Arabidopsis thaliana: one gene and its partners. The protein of the gene in region 3 interacts with the protein of the main gene of each other region in a pairwise test. Each region holds a gene or a part of one and is shown on either strand. Other genes may lie near its edges. The genes, in order: PAR1, BEE1, RHD6 and MEE8.

Region 1 (4,485 bases), on a different chromosome or scaffold from region 3:
CTTCCTCTCAGACTTGCAATTCCCCTAAACCTCTTCTCAATATCACTTCTCACTTTCGTCAAACTCTCTACTTCCTTCTCATAACTCTCAAAGCTATCACCTTTCTCCATTAACCATTTCTTCAATTCAGCCACCTCTGTCACCGTCTCATCTCGCCGCTCAACGCAGTGATAAGATCATCCTGAATACTCACTCTCAAGCTCCACAGCTCCCGTCGATATAGATTCTAAAACCTTCTTCTCTTCTTCTATTTGCTTCATCTCAATCTCCATCTCTCCACACCTCTGCTTCATCTCCACTTCCAGACTTCTCATCTCCTCAATCTCTCTCAGTAATCTCACCCTCCTCCTTCAATTCCAGATTATCCCGTGTCAATTCTTGCTTCTTCTTCTCCAATTCCTTGAAATAGAATTCTATTTCAATTCACCAGAAAAAAATGATTTAGGGTTTTAAGTTTTAACTTTTAGTGAAGAAGTCGTTCCGAGGGTAGTTGACACTTGACAATATTGCCGCGAATCCTTTTTTGTACGGACCTCTTAGTGTTTAATGGGTTCAGGCCCAGTTATGTTAAGCCCAATTATAACATAACTAAGGCAATCAAAAAACATGTGGAATCGTAATCTTTTAGGCTTTTAGCCCATACAGGATGTGATTAGTTATAATCTATCAATGGTTTTTATTTTAAATTTTGGTTTGGTAAAGGATGTTGAAGTTAACATTATTGATTACAACTTCGTACTATACGATGTTCAACCTTAAATTCATCTTTGTAATGTAATTTGGATAGAGAGTAGATAGGGTTGGTAAGAAAATTATATCTTCCCCGACTTTCCGCTATGTGTGGAGTAAATAGTTCCATAGAGTTCGATATAGCTGCATTGTTGTGGGTCAGAAATTACGTTATAATGAATACTAAAACTGATATTGTTTTTTTTCTAGCGGCAAATGTGTTTAAATTTCTGTGTAGATGCTAGCTCTAGTACTTACACGACTAAAAAGATTTGTCTTGTATATGTATGTACAAGGAATATACATGAACTCTATTGTTGGACCACGGGAACTCAAATCTAGTAAGTTCATCATAAGCTTAAATAAATATCGACCGACTTTGGAAATCTTTGTTATAATAAAGCATGTGAAATGAGCTCATCCAGATTTAAAAATGGGCCACGTAACATTAACTTTCTCAATATCATTAATGTCAAATCTCATATGCAAGTGAAACCTCGTGATCCAATTTAATATCTATACTATATGGCGTCCTACTAAAATAAGTTATATAACTACATTAATTAATGCTAATTTTCGTTAATGAACACTTCTCATAACCGTGAAACGGCTTAATAAATAAATCAGAACATTAAAATTAAAGATTATACTCCTACTAAAGAAAAAAAAAATTCGAAGAAAAAAATGTTGAGTCTCTTTCCTCATATATCAAAGCTAAAATCCCATGTTATAAAAAAGGAAATAAAAGATTTGAAAAAAAAAAACGTTTTTTTTTGTTTTTAGGAATCGAAGAAAGAAGAGCAGTCTTGGTGTGATAATCTTCAACCTCCGAACTTCATGTCTTCTTGATCTATGCGTTGAAGAAACGAAGTAAGGACTTTAATGGTTTTGATCTGACATTGTAGAGACAGAATGTAACCAGCTGTCTCTTCGAAGAGCGCGTCCACACCAAGCGCCGCTCCTCCGGGGATAATCCTCTGCAACGCCTCAATCTTTTCCTTGACCTCATCTTCTTCTTCTTCTGCTTCTTCTCGGTCTTCACGTACGCTTGCGTTAGTCTCTGACAATCTCCGTTTGGTTCTGCGCTCGAAACCAGCGGCGCGTGATTTCACGGTGGCTGAGCATGACGGTGACAGAGAGCGTCTCGTGGCGTCGGGAGTGGCTAGAGTTTCTTCCATTGAAAGAAAGAGAGAGATGAATGATGAGTCTGAGAGAATAATGAACAAGTAAGGAATGTGGATATGTGTAACTGTGTGTGTTATATATATATATATGAGTGATGATGGATTTAGTAGACAAAAATGTTGAAATGTGGTCGGTTCAACCTGATTTTATTTTGGTTTGTTGCGAGTTTAGAGACAATACTCTATCGGTTTGATTTGGTTTGCTATGCTTTATGTTACATTGTTTGCTTACATTAGTGAAAGGTTCGGTTATGAACGAATTTTGGTTTGGTTTGTCTATAAAAAACGATGTAAAAATTGAAACGATATAAAATAAATTCTACATTTAGAAATTGGGAAATGGTTAAATGAGCGGTATTGCCATCAAAGCTGGGTCCAGTTGTGCGTTATTTTTAATTTTATTATCCTCGTGTTTCGGATTGTGGAGATTTATTTAATTATCTCTTACTTTGGTTGCTTCCACAGATTTGGATCTTTAGAAGAAGAGCTTTCACGCGCCATGTCGACTGGTTTAGACTTTAGTGGACTCATCACTCACTTAAGTGGATCAACCTCGCATCTAGATTGGATTTTTTTGTTTGTTTGATAAATGAGATTTGGCACGTTAAATTTGTTTGTTTAAGAGCTAGACGTTTGACATAGTAATTAACTAATTATACAACAATGCTTTATTATTGTATTAGGATATGCGTTGTTAATACAAGCCGGATTACTTTTAGCAAGTGTCTCATTTATTTATCAAGCCGGATTACTTGCTAAAATATTATTCGAACTTTAATTTAAACTCTAAATGGTTTGTGATCTGGTTTAGCCATAAATGTAATAGCTGCTATACGTTGTTTTGCATAGTTACCAGTCTTATTTTCTACAACAAGAATAAAGAGTATAAACTATTTTATGTGAGCTTAAATTTCCAAAAGAAAAATTCAAGTAGACGACGACAAACCCTATAGTTATGCACTTATGCTTATAGGCCATTCGGGTGGTGCCTGGTAATGGACTAATGCCTGATGGTATAAGAGTAAGTTTTGTCGTAATTACGTAGTACGGACGAAATGAAAACGACCACGCGCGTGGAGATAAGGAAGGAAAAGAAGAAGGATACAGTGAGACACTACTTGCATGGGAACAAGGAAGAGAGAGGAGAGGACATGTGCGGGTCACATGAATATCTCCATCTTCAAAGCCCCATTCCCATGTGCTTCCTCCTCTCTATACATTATGTACAGACTGTAATATAGTATTATTATTAGATGGATGAGATCAAATAGATCCTCTAAGAGATAGTGAACTTGTTCGTACAATTGAGGACCTAATCCTACTAAGATCCACATGATATCTATCGGGCATGGTGGCCACGTGTCAACCCTTTTTTGGGTCCCCCCCACCTCAGTGACCTCCTAAATCTGTCCTTCATTTTTTTTTTGTCAACTCCTTTTTCTTATTAAAAGAAACTCCAATTAACATCCCATATTTCTTACCACGTAAAAACAACAATCTCAATATATCTATAATGTTAGAGAAATGGCCACTATATAACAAGAAGAAAGCCAAGGAAGTTTAGTGTTATTGGATTCGAATATAGTGTTACATGTTTCTAGCTAGAGATCTTTATAATATACATCTTTTATACATAAAACCGTTATAGTAAATCTTACTTAATGTTGGTTCCATAAATGAGCCCTCCGGTGCATTTCTTTTGTCAACTATATGATATAAAAACTAGATAAAGACTTAATAAAAAATAATTGCATTAAAAAAAAACAATTGCATTTTTGTAGGTCTTTAATCCAAGATTGCAAATTAACCTAAATCTACTCAAGAAAAAAAATTTAGTAAAGAATAATGATTGACATCTAATTAAAAGAAATAATGTATGGTCTTAATTAAGACAAAGATCAGGAACAGAATAACACATTTCTTTTACGTCTAGGGTTTTTAGTAATACTAAAAATTGTTAAGATGTTGTTTTAGAAGAAGAAGAAGATGGAAGAGAGAAATAAAGAAAGAGATGATGTTTCCAAAGAGGGGACGAAGGAGGGTTTGGTTTCTCGGGATTGAGATTTACAAAAATCGGGTGCCTTTCGCATTTCACCATCTACCAAACTGACACTCTCCCCAATTCTAGTATCTATTTATTTATGTATTTGCACTTACATTAAATATGTTACAAAAATAACACACTCGAAATTTAATTTTAGCTTTTAGCCAGCTTTCACATTCGTCGTCTTGGAATAATCAATTCTATGTCCTTTTGTATCTTGTTCGTTGTTTCTATTTTTTCCAAAATAACTTTTATTTAATGACGAAAACCTAAATATTTATATCTAGGAGGAGTTTGAGATGATTCCCTTTCACTATTTATTTTTGTTGCCACAAAAATAAAAGAGAAGAGTTTGGTTAAAGACAAGACAGTATATGTTTTTTTAAGAATTAAGAAAGGGGAAGATTAAGAAAGAAAATATGTAATGTTTAGCTAAAAAACTCCAAATCAAGGGAAGTTAATTAGTTATCTTCTCTTTTTTTCTATAAAGGCTGGAGATATGGGCCACACAGGTGGACCTACCATGAT
Region 2 (5,935 bases), about 18 Mb from region 3:
CTCACTTTCTTTATATATACGATCATACAAATATCTGAATTGTTCTATCAATCATAAAGATTATGAATAGGCAACATCCGTAAGATCCTGTGAAGTGAACCGTCGCTATTAGAATTATTTTTGAAAAAAATATGAAATATATAAGAGATATTCATATATGGATAATAAGAGAGACCACAAAAGAGGAAGGAAGTCTCAAGAGATTGGTTGTTCGTCTGTAAAACACGTCCATAGGCTTCGCATCACAATTTACTATTTTGTCTCTGTTTTTGGTTTGGGAGACACACATCATTGTCTTTGGAAAGCTACAGAAGTGAAGGGTGTTTTTGTTAATTTACACCGACAAAGTCTCTTTGGTTCCATAACTCCTCTTCGTTACCAAACCTTGCGCAACTTGCCTCTTCCAGTTTATCGTATATGTAACTATGCCTTTCTCGCTGAAAAAGGAAAATGTTTTTAGTAACCAAAAGCAAATTACATATGAATGGAAATATAATCCCTTAACAAGAACATATCGTTTTATATTATAAACTAATCTTCATTTTTAGTAATTCTATAGCCGAAGCCGTTTTTAACCCACTTTACGTAGGAAAGTGAAGTGGAACTCTAGACATCAAAAGCACATGCATGTCTGTAATCAGACTAAGAACTCTCGACCCTAAAATTAATAAACTAAAATCAATATTTAAACCGACTGGTAACGCTCATTTCTTTTTGTTATAAAGACTAATCACATTTCATTGAAGATTTGGTAATATATACAATTTACAATTGATTTCTCTCTTCCCATCATCGTCAATTCACTCATCAACACTTTGACATATGAGCTAATTCATCCATGATTTATAACTTCATTTGCAGAAACAAAATAAAAAAATTCTGTTGAATTTTATTTCTGATCATTTCATAACTTAAGAGGACAATTACATAAGAGGAAAAGGAAAAAGGTGCCAAGCAAACGAAATAGCAAAGCGAAAAGGGAGAGGACAACTGAGATATTTACATGACAATTATAAGTCACCAATAAATTTATATCGTCGAAATTACAAGTATACAGATTACAAATATTATCCCAAGTTGGGTCGTATATATGACATATCGCATCCAAATAAATAGAAGAATAATTTCGAAAACAATAAAAAAGAAGGAAAAGAGAAAAGAGAAAACAAAAGTCAAAGGGACCATGTTGATAAATGGAAGACAGGACTCCCATCTCTTGTTTGTCTCCCCATCTCCACTGTCTCACGTGCCTTTGCTCTCTGCCAATTGTATTCCATTCATATTATTCAATACTAATAGAAATACTTTATCACGTTAAAATAAAGTAATTGTCATAACAACAACTAGTTAGACTTAAACCATGCAAATATAATGCCAAAAAAAAAGAGACTACTTAAACCAATAAACCATACAAGATCAATTATGCAAAGGCTGGATTTGACCTGTCGAACATATTTTAATTGCGGGTCATATAGTCCGCGTGATCATATATTATAGTCTAATAAGATTGAATCTAAACTACAAACACTTGTATTTTTGAATAAATCTTTGTAGAACCGACTCGATCAAAACATACCGGACCCATTACAACATCTCTACCAGACTACCACTAATTAATTATATATATGCTTATCTTAAGAATTGAAAAACATTATTAGAATGTTCTAGTACCTGCATGGAATCAACTGCATCTGTCTCTGAGTTAAAGTCATAAAACGAACTTGCTGCAGTGAGTTTCATCGAGAGGAACTGAAATCCACAAAAAACATGAAACAAAATTGAGTAATTTATAAAATTAAAGCTTGTGTTTTGGAAGTTTTTTAAAGTGTGTGGTAAGATTTTCGTTTTTTTTTTGTAATTTTCGAATATCTAAGATTTGCCGTGTTTCGGAAAGTACTACTAAAGTAGGTATTTACCGAACCTCCCATCTCATGAAACCTCCATTTTCTAGTTTTTTTTTTCTTTCTCCAAAATACAAGAAGACAAAGTCTTATTGATATATGTAGTTTATGATTACAACTTAAATTATTTACCTCGACTTGATTCTGTAGAGACTGGACATAATTAATTATCTCGTCAAGCATCGTAGCCATTCCCATAGCCTGCACCCACCAAACATACACTTTCATTATAAGAAGTAAGCACCACTAAATCAATAGAAAATCACATCACTTTTTCTACAATTTTTTTTCTGAGTTCTTTGTAAACAAAAAAAACAAAAAAAAATCCGAAGAACAATTTTCGGAAAATATTATGAGCGGTATCAAAGAAAAAAGCTAAAATCACACTCATGCATGTTAAAAATACTTTTGGATACATATGTTCTTGTTTAACTAAAAGTATCACTTTTATCATAAAATGCTTAAATTTGATTCAAGTATAATTAGTGACAATTAATGCCGATGATGACCTTTTCATATGCTATTTATTGTTTAATGGCCATTAGTTTCTATTTTGATTACAAATATATTAAAAAAGAAGTAATGAAAAGTTGAAAATGTTAAACTATTATATTTATCTTTGCATTATTACCTTATAACATCCGGGCACCATATCTTGCAAGCATCTTAATCTCTCGTTTATTTTCCCTCGCCGAACCTGAAATTTTGATATAGAGTGTAGACATGTATATAAATTTAAATGAATACACCACGTTTATAAAAAAAATGAATTTATATAGACAATTTAAGCAATTTTACCCGTTCTGCTAAGCTGTGGCTATCAGTGGCTTGGCCTCTTCTGGCTCTCACATGAACAACTTCTCTCTCTTTCTCGTCTTCTTCTTCCTTCTTCTTCTTCAACCTCTTACCTCTTCTCAAAGAACCCTAGATATTTTTTAGACAATAAAAGTAATTATTTTAAACGAACTTTTTAATGATAAGTTATGAAAATGATAAGATAATTAGCTAGGGTTTCGAGATCAATTACTGTTTCAGTGGCAATAACATTCGTATTATCGGAGACGCCGCTAGTCTCTGATGAAGACAAAGTAGGTAACAAAGCTTTTCTCTTCTTGGTCTCATCGACGATGTTGTGATCACTATGGAGGAAACTTGAAGTTGAAGAGAAATTGTTACTACTGTCTGGAGAGTTTCCGGGAAAGTGAAGTAATTGTTGTTGATGATGATGAAGGAAGAGCGATTCGAGAGAAGTAGAGGAAGGATGAAATGTTTGAAAATGAAGGTTACTGTTGTTGTTGTTTAGATCTGCAGCTTGAGTTATGGAAGAATATATATCCATGGCTATTGTCTGAAAATCAGAAGAAAGATTCTCGAAATTTGCCATAATATAATGAATTGAGATATGATCTTCTTGACACTTTTTTTTTTTTTTTTTTCTGACAACTTCTTTAGACTGGTTGATACAAAACTTGAGACTTTTATATTGTTCGATTGGATTTTTTTATTAATTTAATTTATGATTTTAGAAAAAGAAATGTGGAGAAAATTAAGAAAGAAAAAGAGAGAAATAAAGGGAGAGCCACGTGGGCAAGTGAACGTTCTGGGATTTGTGTGTCGGGGAGATATGTCCAAACAAGGAAAAGTAGGACCAATGTTTGGTCGTGGGTTCCATTAGGCTTTCTCTGTTTGCAAGGGGGAAGAACATTTCTAGTCAGTTTGGTGTGAGGTTAAGAACTAGTGGTCTATCTTTAAATTTATTATTAATATTGGGAAGAAAATATTGAAATGGATGTAGCTAGTCAAACTAAGTTGATATCAAAACTTGTTTTAATGAAAACATCCATTAATGTTTTGCATGGAGGGTTTTTTATGTAGGTGTATAGGGTAAGAGATCACATCCATTTGCCAACTTAATTATAACTTCCAAATGGCCAATGCCAATTAATCGACAAAAATACTATAAATATGTGTATGTATAAAAATATAGGGAGATAAACGAAAGTATATATGAAGGTTCTTTTACATAAGTTGACGCCAATTTATGAATCTTTAGTTAAAGTTTAAGTTACCAAATTATTTATATTGGTGAAGACAAATTTTCACTTTAATCGGCATACTAGAGATTTCCTTTGTTTGTCCTTGTGATGATCAAACACATTGAGTTTTAGGAAAGAGTTTTTTTTTTTTTTTTTTTTTCTTCCTTTTAGGAAAGAGTTAGGTTGCAACAAATGTCAATGTTTAGTTGGGCCATTACTATAGATTATCTATTATGTATGGTGGAGGGATTTGATTCACATGCAATTTCATTCATTCAAGACAACTTACTCTTTAACTTGTTCATTAATAGAAGTAGTAAAGCATCCATGCCCAAATTGGTGTGCTTTAATTAGGAAATTTTGGAAACAGAAGTTTTTTTTTTTTTTCTCTGAAAGTGTCTTTCATTAAAACTTCATAGATGCAGGTCTTACATTGTGATTGCAGCAGTGGACTTTCCACTTACATTGGAAACAGAAGATAAGCTCAATATACATATATATATTCTTCTGACGTTAAATTGGTGGATAGTCATCGCCGTCGCTGAGCTGGCGTTACTTAATTACCATCATTATTTTGATGTCTCAAATATTTTTACCTTTTCCGTAAAAAAATAAAATTAACCACTAATAAAAAAATAGTTTCAGTTGGCAGCAAATAGCAATACAAAATTGCTGATTTAGTCCGGTCAGGCCCAATCACGAAGTTTTGTATGTTACGGTCCCTCTCTAGGTGGAATCGGAACAAGATCATCATTATATACATTCCCAAAAATATCATCTAATACAGAACACGAACACCATTCTCTAACTGTTAACTGACAATTTTAAACATACAAATAATAAACACATACAATGTTAGTGGCCGTGCGACTAATTTTACTTACTGTCCCATTTCACAATGACACTATCTGGAGACTGTGCAACCAACGGTCCACTCTTGTTCACATCTACAACATCCATTTCCGAACCAAATCCATTGTTCTGTATCCTCGTCAACGTATCCTGCACGTGCGACATACATGGCCTAAGATCTTTATCCGACTGCAAGCATTGGAACGCCAGCTCAGCGACAGCGATCACCGTCTGTCTCACTCTTGTATCCGTGTCAAACCCAAGTGACGGATCCACCATGTCGCGGAGCTCGTGGTTCTGGATTTTAACGACTGCCATGTTCGAGAGGTTGATCTCTTGGCGCGGTCTTGTGATGTCGACTGCTGGAAGTGAAGAGATAAGCTCCATTAACACTACCGCAAAGCTGTACACGTCGCTTTTGTTTGAGAGTTGATAGCATAAGTGGTAATCCGGGTCGACATATCCCGGAGTTCCTTGTGGAGCGGTAGATACGTGCGTTTTATCCATAGGAAACAGTCTAGAGAGTCCAAAATCCGCAACCTAAAATGTCGAAAACAGTAAAAAAAACACAGAAAGAAGTTAAGATTATGATCCGATAAAATCCCACCAGATTGAGTAATAACCAGTGTGAGTTACTGACCTTGACATTGAAGTTTTGGTCGAGAAGGATGTTGTTGGATTTAACATCACGGTGGATGATCTTGGAGGCGTGGAGATACTTCAAGGCAGAGGCAGTTTCAACAGCGATTTTGAGCCGAATAGACCAAGGAAGTGAGCTAGGGTTTGCCTGTGGACCATGTAGATGATCAGCTAACGTGCCGTTTGCAACATACTCATACACTAGCAGTAAGTCCCGGCTCTGTTTTGAGGAGCATCCAAAGAGAGCCACGAGGTTTGGATGGCGTAAACCCGTTAAGATCTCAACTTCATTCCTGAATTGCTCTGCTCTTTTGAAGTTGTTATCGTATAACCGTTTAACGGCTACGCTTCGTCCATCTTTAAGCTTACCGTAATAGACAGTACCAAAGCCTCCATCACCGAGTTCTTTAGATGGGTCGAAGTTATTAGTGGCTTCTTCAAGTTCTTCGTAAGAGAAAATATGAACTCCGACTAATAATTCCTCTGCTTTCTCGATGTCAAAAGACT
Region 3 (5,077 bases):
GACCAACACTAAAGCTTATTTTGTATAGCATTCATGGTTTGAGCGTGTTATTATTACAACTAATCCAATATAATTTAGGGATGGTTTGGATTATTTTTTGAATGATTTTAGGTTTTATATCTTTGTTTTATGATTCTTAAAGTTTTGGAACGAATTACAATTACCAGTGAGTGACTACAATTGACGGTTATATGTAGTTAATACTTCTTTTAGTTTCTTTTTGGCAAAGTTAATACTTCTTTTCAAAATTATATTTTTAATGTCAAATTGTCAATTGTTTTTCCTTTCATGTGCATATACATTTATTTTAACCTAACTTAAGTAAATGATTTAGAAAATAACATTTAAAAGGTAATAAAATTGATTTTTTTCTGTTTCTATAAATAAACTCAAGTGTAATATAATACAATAAGACTAATATTTTACAAAACTTCTGAAAACAAATCGAATTGAAATTTTGATATTTCGTTTCAATTCATTCATTTGTTTACATAATGCCAGTCTAGTAAGATAAATATGGAATCATGTAATGGATTATAAAATAAATAGATTATTGGACTTCTTAATAACTTCGTTTGTCTTATTGACTTGATGGAGCTCGTAAGTACATAAATACAAGTACAGCGCCTAAAGTGGGATTATCCATGTGGCTAATCATGTAGTTAATTAATTTAATAATTTTGGACATACATTTGAATATCAATTCAAATGAAAACAATGTATAAATTAATAAGAACACGTATCCCTAATCTTTCCCAAAGGACACATGCTGACATGGGCTGATAAATCGAGATCTTAGGTATGTCGTCCAATCAATTAATATAATCTCATACTTAATTTGAGAAATAATTTTATACGATAAAGGTGCTGATGTGTATCAGTGTATGGTTATCCTACAATTAATTGATAAAAAAAATATATGCTATTCATCACTGATTTTAAGATTTCTCAACTTTTGGTTGAATACTTATTTACCTACATATAAAAATGTTTATATTTTCGAAAATACATATTTTAGTGTACCAAAATTATATCATAAAATGTTTTAGCCAAGCAAACTAGGTTAACATTATGTTTTGATCATTCATACAGAGAATGTGAAAATGTTTTGCACAGAAGAACTCGTCGTCCTAGAGCAATTATAAATAAAAAAATGGTCTATTTTGGTAATAGAAATTCATAGTTTATCTTTTTTTTCAAAAAATACTATGCATTGCAATCTATATAGAGACCCTATAATATGTGTGACAAACTTTTGACGAATTTTAAATAAATAAGCATGTCGCTCAAGAGCTAGCTTTAATAAAGCCAAGCTCAAATAGACAAAGAAAGATGACAAAAAGATAGATTCTCTGAAACTGAAACCTCAAGGAAAAAACAAAAGTGAAGAATTTTATTACTCATTTCTTGGAGTTTAAATAAAAGATCTGTATTCCGTAGACTAAAACACACAAAATACAATTAAAACAGAAAAAGAAATTGAAAAACATATTTATGTTTTTAACACTTATTTACTAGTTAAAGATTCCATCCCCGTGTGGACCCATATCAGACTGATCATCGGTGAATTCAATGTCTCTTGTCTTCTCTTCGTTATAGATGCATTAAGAACTTCTCGATTTTCACATAATCTAACGTTACATAATCTCGATTGTCTTCTCTTTGGATCATATTTCAAAATTTACGTGGGATTTATAATCGAGAGAATCATTGTTTCCCCCGATATTATTACAACGTACGTAATTAATGTTTGATAAACTGATTTATTAATGATAAAACCCTTCATTAATTGGTGATCAGATTCGAATTCCTGTCTCGTTGTGATGAGGAGAGAATGGCATCAATGGCGTCTTTAACTTGAGAAATGTCAGGAGCTTTTCCTCCTTGAGCCGGCCAAAACTCATCGGTCGCTAATACCTAACAAACAATAGATTATATCAATACGTGTTACGTAATAATTCGATAAATATGGTAATTAAATCAATCCTGAAAATTAATTTGAGGGATGTTTGTCATAACTAATATACCTTAACTTGTACTTGAAGGAACTTGACATAACTAATAGCCTTTTCAAGCATTGTCACCAAATCAACCTGTGAAACATAACAAATATTATTATCATGAGAATAAGTAATATAATAAATCTGTCATAAATGGTTATATGGATGTGTACCTTGGTGCCATTGGGAACAAGTTCTTGCAATATCTTGAGACGTTCACTTATCCTTTCTCTTCGATTCTGAACAAAATAAAACATATGTAAATATGTGTTGAGAGATTGAGTTTTATTTTAATGAATGTAAATTAATGTCAAGAAAGCAAACCTTGGCTGCTAGGCTTTGTGGATCTTTAGGTGAAGTTGTTGGCTTAGGCTTGGTCTTTCCGGTCACACCGCTACTCAGTTTCTTCGACGGTTGAGTGCTCTCTCCCTATATATCCATAATTCAAATTGATAGTAGTATATATCAACGATCTTTCATTGACATCTTATATGAAAAATATTCACCAAGACTTTGTTGTTTGTAATTACCGTGTGAGAACGTTTGTTTCCAGCGGATTTAGGCGAAAGAGACTCGTTTCTAGAACCAGTGGTTACAACAGTTGAATCAGAATATAACCAGTCTTTCTGGCCTTGGGGAGTTTCGGTGGATCTAGGGCTAATAATATCCATATGATGTTGATGATTCCAGTTTGTGAAGCCGTAGCTCATGTTGTTGCCCTCCAAGAAGGAGAAGCCGCCCCCACCGCTACTACCACCACAGCTTATGGCTGGAGGAGGAAAGCTCTCGTGATGATCAAAGTTAAGAAATGATGATCCGTTGAAATCCATCAAAGAGTTGTGATGATCTTCACCGGATGGGTAAAATACAAACCCCTGATGTTGTTGATGATCTGAATTCATCGTGCTACTGCTCGAAGCCGAGCCTCCTCCTCCTCCTCCACCGGCATAAGCTGCATCTGGCTGATCCAGTCCCGGCGAGGAGAGATCTTCGGAAGAGGAGGAATTTTGTTTTGACAAGTAATTGGTCTCGTTGGGATGGTCATTAACGAGTGCCATTAGACACTAATAAGTTTGATAAGTGATTTTTTGTTTAGGGTTTTTGTGTGTCTTGTTGACGAAAAGTGGCTTTAAGGTTGTCTATTGGTAAGCAAAGAGAGACAATGTGTTTGTGTAGTTATGTTATGATAAAGGTTTATATAAGTGGTTTATGTCTAATATTTTATTTAAGCTAGTGACGTATTCTTAAGATTTTTTTTTAATTTATTGAGTTTGATTAAACTGATTAGAAAAAGAAGCTGGCATTAGATCAAATTCAATATTTTACGTCATTTTTTAAACTCTTATCAGTTTGAAGCTTCGAAGTTATGAATGCATAGAATTCTAGCTAGACATATGTTATTTTTTGTACATTTCCTTAACTGGGAATATTGGACTAGCATGCCTAAAACGTATGGTTACTAAAAATGCTTGTATTTGTTTTGTTTTTTTGTAGTCATTGTCTCCTTGTAATGTTGTTAGTAACAACTTGTTACTCTGCCTATGGACACTCATATTTCTTAGTTCTTTCAAGATAATGACATCCATTTTACTCCGATGTTCATCGACAGACACTACACAACATTTTTTTTTTTTTTTTTAATGTGATACTTGAAGATAATGACAATCACTTTTCTACTAGATGAATAGTTCTAATAAACACAACCTTACATGTTTTCTGATACTTTTTAGATCCTCTTTAAAAAGATAGCTAAAATTTTGGTATTCTAACTTTTAAATTTTACATATTTATGATACTTCCACATATTCTTTCATTTCGTACTAACTGCACTGGTTCCATTATTTGCTTCTATCCCACTATTTTCTCACAGTTAAATTTGTTCCATTTTTTTTTTTTTTGGACAAAAAATTTGTTCCATTGTTATTATTTGAAACCTTACTCTATACAATAGTTCTTAACCAAAAAAAAGTTGTATGTTTAATATATCGTAAAATCTACTACATTTTTATTTAACCAATAAAACATATTCACATTATTATTTTATTTTTAATTTTCAATTAACTGAATGGATAAATATAAATATGAAAAATGTAAATTAAGTATTAATTAATTATAAATTTCGATATTTATTGAAAATTGTAGTAAGAATACTGAGTTTTCATTAGTTCTTTTTCACTTTTAATTTGTTAAACTCAAATGAACCCAAATTAAGGTATTTTTTTTTTTAAAAAAAGAATATTGTAAAAGATTGTCTATAGACAGAATTATCTTTTATGGTATTTAATCAATTGAATCGAGTCGGTACCATATATGTTATATAAAAAATACTCCAAACATAGACCACTAATACTGGTGAGGAAAAATTATATAAGTTATTTGTATTGTATATAATTTTAGCAACTAATGTGGCACTGTAAAACCACATGATCAACAATGTAAATAATAAGAACTCATTTTAAAAAATGGCATAGAAAAAATCTTGACGTCGGGGAAAAATATGGATCGCATATCAAATACATCATTATCTTTTTGGAGTGATAAAAAAAATGAATGAACGTAAATTAAAGTGTTGTATTACAATATTTATGAGTAATTGTTGTATTACAATATTTATGAGTAATTCATCGGGATTGTTAGCTGGCAGTAAGGTGAAATTAATGGACTGAGACTTTATAACCCCAAAAATAGTTTATTAATTAAGAGAAGCGAAAAACATAGAAGCAAAATCATCGCCGTATCTTCCGCTAATCTACACGTCTTTTTGATTCCCATATATATGATCGATTCTAATATATATCAATTCTTTCGATGATTCATTTTCATTGTTTATTTTGTTTCGATGATTCATTTTTCCTAAGAACCTGCTTCTTACTTTCATTTCTTTAGCCGACACGTCGACTTATAAGTAATATACTCCATAATATAGTTGTTTTAGGCTAACTTGTTTTATTTATTTTATCTTCGTTAATATCTTTGTATATAATCTTTTTTTTTTGTTGAAGTTTTGGACATTCGGCCCATTCTTTGGGTTTAGAGACCAAAACATGCTAAAACCTTTTTTTTTTTGGTAGAAATAA
Region 4 (4,243 bases), about 16 Mb from region 3:
TCAAATATGGGTTTTATCATATGAAATTTGTTTAAAATGTGATAATATCTAATAACTTATGAAATTTGAAGAATAAGTAACATGAAAAGATAAATATCATATTAACAAATAATAAAAAAGATAATTATCAAGATAATCTATATTCTCAAAATTACAACTGATTTTGCTTTGTTTATAAATATAATTTTTTTAGAAAAAAAAACAAATTATTGGCCTCCCAATCTTTACCGAACACTTCATAAAACAAAATCTTTGTGGTATTTTTTTCATTTGTTTTGTTATTTGTAGTATTTTTCCAAAATATATAAAACAGAAATTTCCGTATTTTAAATACTTTCAATTAATCATAAACACATACAAATATTTAGATATAAGATCAATTCATCTAACACTTATCCTAATTTTTTAAATTGAATTACTTGTTTTAAGGATCATACACTGATACTAGGTCCGGTTGTTAACAGATTAATTTTTCATGAAGACCAAAACATATCATAAGGTTTTTATTAAAAGAAAATGGCGGACAGTAGGCGCCTAGTGTTCGAGTATTGACTGATCAAATCATTAACTTTTAATTTGCAAGATCCAGTAGTACTAAGTTCCGAACGGAATTTAATTAAAGATGGTCTCATGGCTAAAACATAACTCGTAACATCTAAACCAAAAACATACAATTTTATTATAACAAACAAACGAAGAACTGAGGCTAAAACATAACTCGTAATATTTAAACCAAAAACATACAATTTGATTATAACAAACCAACAAAGAACAACTGAGAAAATAAGAAAACTTAGCTAATCGAAACTTTTATCAAGTATCTATATAATACAAAACGGCACCAGCTTCAGTAAACAGTCTCCAGTCGTCACATATTCCCTGCGAACCCTTGTAATGCTGGAAATGAAGAGAAATTTAAAAACCAGAAAGATAAATAATCTTTAACGAACAGATCAGAGTATGGCCATAAAAAAAAATTACCTCCGAAAAGAACTGCAAGGCGCAAGTTGTTCGTGTACTCGATAACGCAATCAAGGATGGCGTTGATATCAGACTGTAAGATTATACGGAAAAAAAAAACATTAACAAAACTAACATTTCCCAAGAAAAAAAAATCAGTTAACAAAGGAAGCAGTTGTGAACCTGTGGGCAGTTGGGTGTAATTTCCTTAAGTGTTTCTAGTTGCCTTCTTATACGTTCCCGCCGTTTCTTCTAAGGTATCCAAAGAAGAGAAAAGAGTAAATCAAGAGTTTCTTGGGGAAGACGTATCATAACAATACAACTATTATTGGTTACCTTCTTCAACAAGGTATCATGATCAGATTTGTCTGAAGATTTAATCACGCACTGTGTCTTAACTCGCTTCTTCTTTCCTTCTCTCCTCGACTCAGCTGACCTCTTTTGCCCTACTTTCTCTACACCTTTTTCGTTGTTGATCCTACGCAAGTCACTATTCGCCTCTGGATTAGTGAGCGAGTATAGTATCTCAAACCATTGCCGAAGAAATACTTCGTCCTTGTTCATTCTTTTGATAGTTTTAAGTGATTCTTTACTGATAAGTTTGGCTGATTTGAGTTTAACGCAGACATGCTTCAAGGGTACTTATACAGGGAGAAAAGGATATATATGTAAACTACTCATGACGAGAAACAACAACGTTTGCCGCTCAAAAAGCTACTCTTCGTCACTAAGTTACTAATTCTTTAAATAAAATTACATTTATGTAAGGTGGACATCTAAGGTTCATAGATATAGCCAAGAAATGTAACGTGTCCATTTTTGACCTAAGTCTACGGTTTAAAAAATTAGAGATTTTGGAATGCAGGATATATACACACATAATACGACAATATTAGGACCTTACGAAGTCACGAGGCTCTTGTAATCGTTTACTCAGAACTCCACATGCATTAGGAGTACTCTACGTCGTACCTTTAATACAAATATTTAAATATTTTCGAGAATGATCTAATTAATCTAGTGATGTAAGTTACAATATTTCTGAATGGTACCTTCCGGTTTAGAGAGAACCTTGAGTTGCTAAGGGAGATATCCGGTTATAAAACGGTTCATGCGGCAACCTTGTTTATCATGCGGCAACCTTGTTTGTCATGCGGCATGATCTTTGTCAGCATTCAGCATGTATGTTGGGATTTAGACTTTCTAAAATCTTATCTAGCACTAAAGTTTTGACATCAGCCTTATTTGTCTATATGTATGGGTGACATGGTAATAATTTCTTTAACTAAATCTCTGGGATGATTTTTTAAATTAATTTGTAGTTTCTTTAAGAAGTTACACAACATGAGGTTATAACAATTTTACGTGACATATTTATAACTCACAAATGAACTATTTTTTGTTTTTTATATCTCAGGTGATCGTAAATGCTTTATAATCTCGGGATATGGAAAACAATGTTAAATTGAGCTATTTTGTTTTTGAAATATGAAAATTCATAGTTTAAAATTTACACAATCGATATAATATTCTACAGATTGAGAAATTTATTACCCGTATATAATGATAAGTAAGATTGATTTCAAGAACTTTTGGATCATGAGTCCCTCTATTTTGTTAGTCTTAGTTTAGGACTCTTCAGATTCAAAGTTTTATATATTAAAAAAGTAAATAGTTTCTAAACATGAGTGTTATATCATCGATCCAAACAATTGGTTTTGACAACGTTGCACTATTTAGGTAAAATATGCATCCATGGAAACCAAGATTAATAAACATGATGTTTCGAAAATATTAAAGAAAACTGCAATAGAGAAAGAAAAAAGAAAAAAAACACAAAGACCAAGTGAGATCATGTTATTGCGTAATACATGTGGATTGCGTAGTTTGGTAATGATGTTAGATAGTCTATGCGCTCCAGTGCTCCACAGCAACGGCTAACTTCTCGAACACACGCTCCTATTTTCAACGTGCCAAAGTTAGAGCCTAGCTTTGATTATCTTTTCTGGTCTATACTCATATTTTGCTGCTCCATGTATCCACCATCTCTTTTACTGGGGCACACTATATATATGTAAAGTGCTTTTACTGATAAAAAATAGTAAACAAAATGATATTTTAATCTTTTTACGTTCTCGTAGTATTCTTTTGTCCAGTCTAATTTACAAAGACTGAGAACATTCATTCTTCACTTAATATTATATAGTGTTGGTGCCTTGGTGGTATGGATGATTGATATGCTGAGAAAGCAAAGCATAAAACATAGGTCCAGGCATGTCTGTTCAATGTATGATATCTCTTTTAGCAACACTTTTCTTCTATCCTATCGGAACTGCAATTACTTTTTTGGTGTCATTCTCATTCATGTGCTTTATTTTATAGGAAATTTTAATTATTTGAAAGAAGTTTCTATTATTGGCTGTTAGTAAAACCTCTAAAATTAATCTCACTACTATGAATCAGCATCTATAACTTCATAGTATATCACCACCACAACTATGTTTTTTTTGTTAAATCCCAAACTGTTATTAAATGTGAAAGATCTTTAATCAAATACATATAGACAATCTCCATTTGTATAACCTTATGTTTATTTCCTTTTAGTTAATTAGCTTGAACTAAGTTTCACAAATTACATTTACATCTACACATTCACATGCACATACATTGAATATCAACTAATTTTAAAACTGATTAGTTAGTATACGTTCGGAGTAGCTAGACAACTATAGACATCATGATTCACATTTTTCAATAAATTGATTACTTGATGATACAAATGTGTGTGTTAACGGCTGGAAAACATACAAAGAGGGACATCATAGTTCATAAAGGTGTTCCCTTTATATATAGTTATACATAGAATGTGGGATAATCATGGAGCCGTACTAATCACTCTATTATTTTCTTTACAAAATAAAGTAGAAGTAGGGGTATTACTTTTTCTACTCCAGCTTACTCTTGTCTACTGCAACTATTATTCATTCGACTGGAACCATTAGCTCATACATATCTTGTATACAATTACTTAAAAATTTGTATTGTAAATGATAATCATAAATATACATTTTTGTTTGGTAATTATAATCATATTAAATATAGTTAATTGTTAAAGGTCGGTTAGTTTGTCTCATTCCTTTTGAAGTATGAAAATCACAAATTTTCATTAAGAGAAAACGAAAAATAACAAATAAAACAGCTTCTTTTAATATTAAAGTTTTTTTCTTGAAAAATTGTAATAATAATATGTGAGCTAAAAGTATATAAAAATTGGCATAAGTGC

The links.
Region 1: the proteins of RHD6 (region 3) and PAR1 interact in a two-hybrid assay, tested with the Arabidopsis thaliana proteins (one large-scale study listed by BioGRID).
Region 2: the proteins of RHD6 (region 3) and BEE1 interact in a two-hybrid assay, tested with the Arabidopsis thaliana proteins (one large-scale study listed by BioGRID).
Region 4: the proteins of RHD6 (region 3) and MEE8 interact in a two-hybrid assay, tested with the Arabidopsis thaliana proteins (one large-scale study listed by BioGRID).

What each region holds. Positions count from the first base shown.
Region 1 is NC_003071.7:17,835,281-17,839,765, forward strand, and holds PAR1 (phy rapidly regulated 1), read right to left. Parts: upstream 2,339-4,485; 5' UTR 1,908-2,338; coding exon 1,551-1,907; 3' UTR 1,136-1,550; downstream 1-1,135. Other genes in the region: AT2G42865 (uncharacterized protein), read right to left, coding at 1-158, 234-314. UniProt on the Arabidopsis thaliana protein: Atypical bHLH transcription factor that acts as a negative regulator of a variety of shade avoidance syndrome (SAS) responses, including seedling elongation and photosynthetic pigment accumulation.
Region 2 is NC_003070.9:6,328,814-6,334,748, reverse strand, and holds BEE1 (BR enhanced expression 1), read right to left. Parts: upstream 3,352-5,935; 5' UTR 3,286-3,351; coding exon 2,929-3,285; intron 2,826-2,928; coding exon 2,700-2,825; intron 2,599-2,699; coding exon 2,533-2,598; intron 2,103-2,532; coding exon 2,034-2,102; intron 1,750-2,033; coding exon 1,672-1,749; coding exon of another isoform or gene 1,630-1,671; exon of another isoform or gene 1,260-1,629; coding exon 1,173-1,259; 3' UTR 893-1,172; downstream 1-892. Other genes in the region: AT1G18390 (Serine/Threonine kinase family catalytic domain protein), read right to left, coding at 4,814-5,329, 5,430-5,935. UniProt on the Arabidopsis thaliana protein: Positive regulator of brassinosteroid signaling.
Region 3 is NC_003070.9:24,793,307-24,798,383, reverse strand, and holds RHD6 (ROOT HAIR DEFECTIVE6), read right to left. Parts: upstream 3,171-5,077; 5' UTR 3,059-3,170; coding exon 2,531-3,058; intron 2,430-2,530; coding exon 2,325-2,429; intron 2,240-2,324; coding exon 2,174-2,239; intron 2,094-2,173; coding exon 2,028-2,093; intron 1,918-2,027; coding exon 1,786-1,917; 3' UTR 1,369-1,785; downstream 1-1,368. UniProt on the Arabidopsis thaliana protein: Transcription factor that is specifically required for the development of root hairs. Acts with RSL1 to positively regulate root hair development. Acts downstream of genes that regulate epidermal pattern formation, such as GL2.
Region 4 is NC_003070.9:8,873,311-8,877,553, forward strand, and holds MEE8 (basic helix-loop-helix (bHLH) DNA-binding family protein), read right to left. Parts: upstream 1,525-4,243; coding exon 1,297-1,524; intron 1,210-1,296; coding exon 1,144-1,209; intron 1,055-1,143; coding exon 995-1,054; intron 898-994; coding exon 814-897; downstream 1-813. UniProt on the Arabidopsis thaliana protein: Required during early embryo development, for the endosperm formation.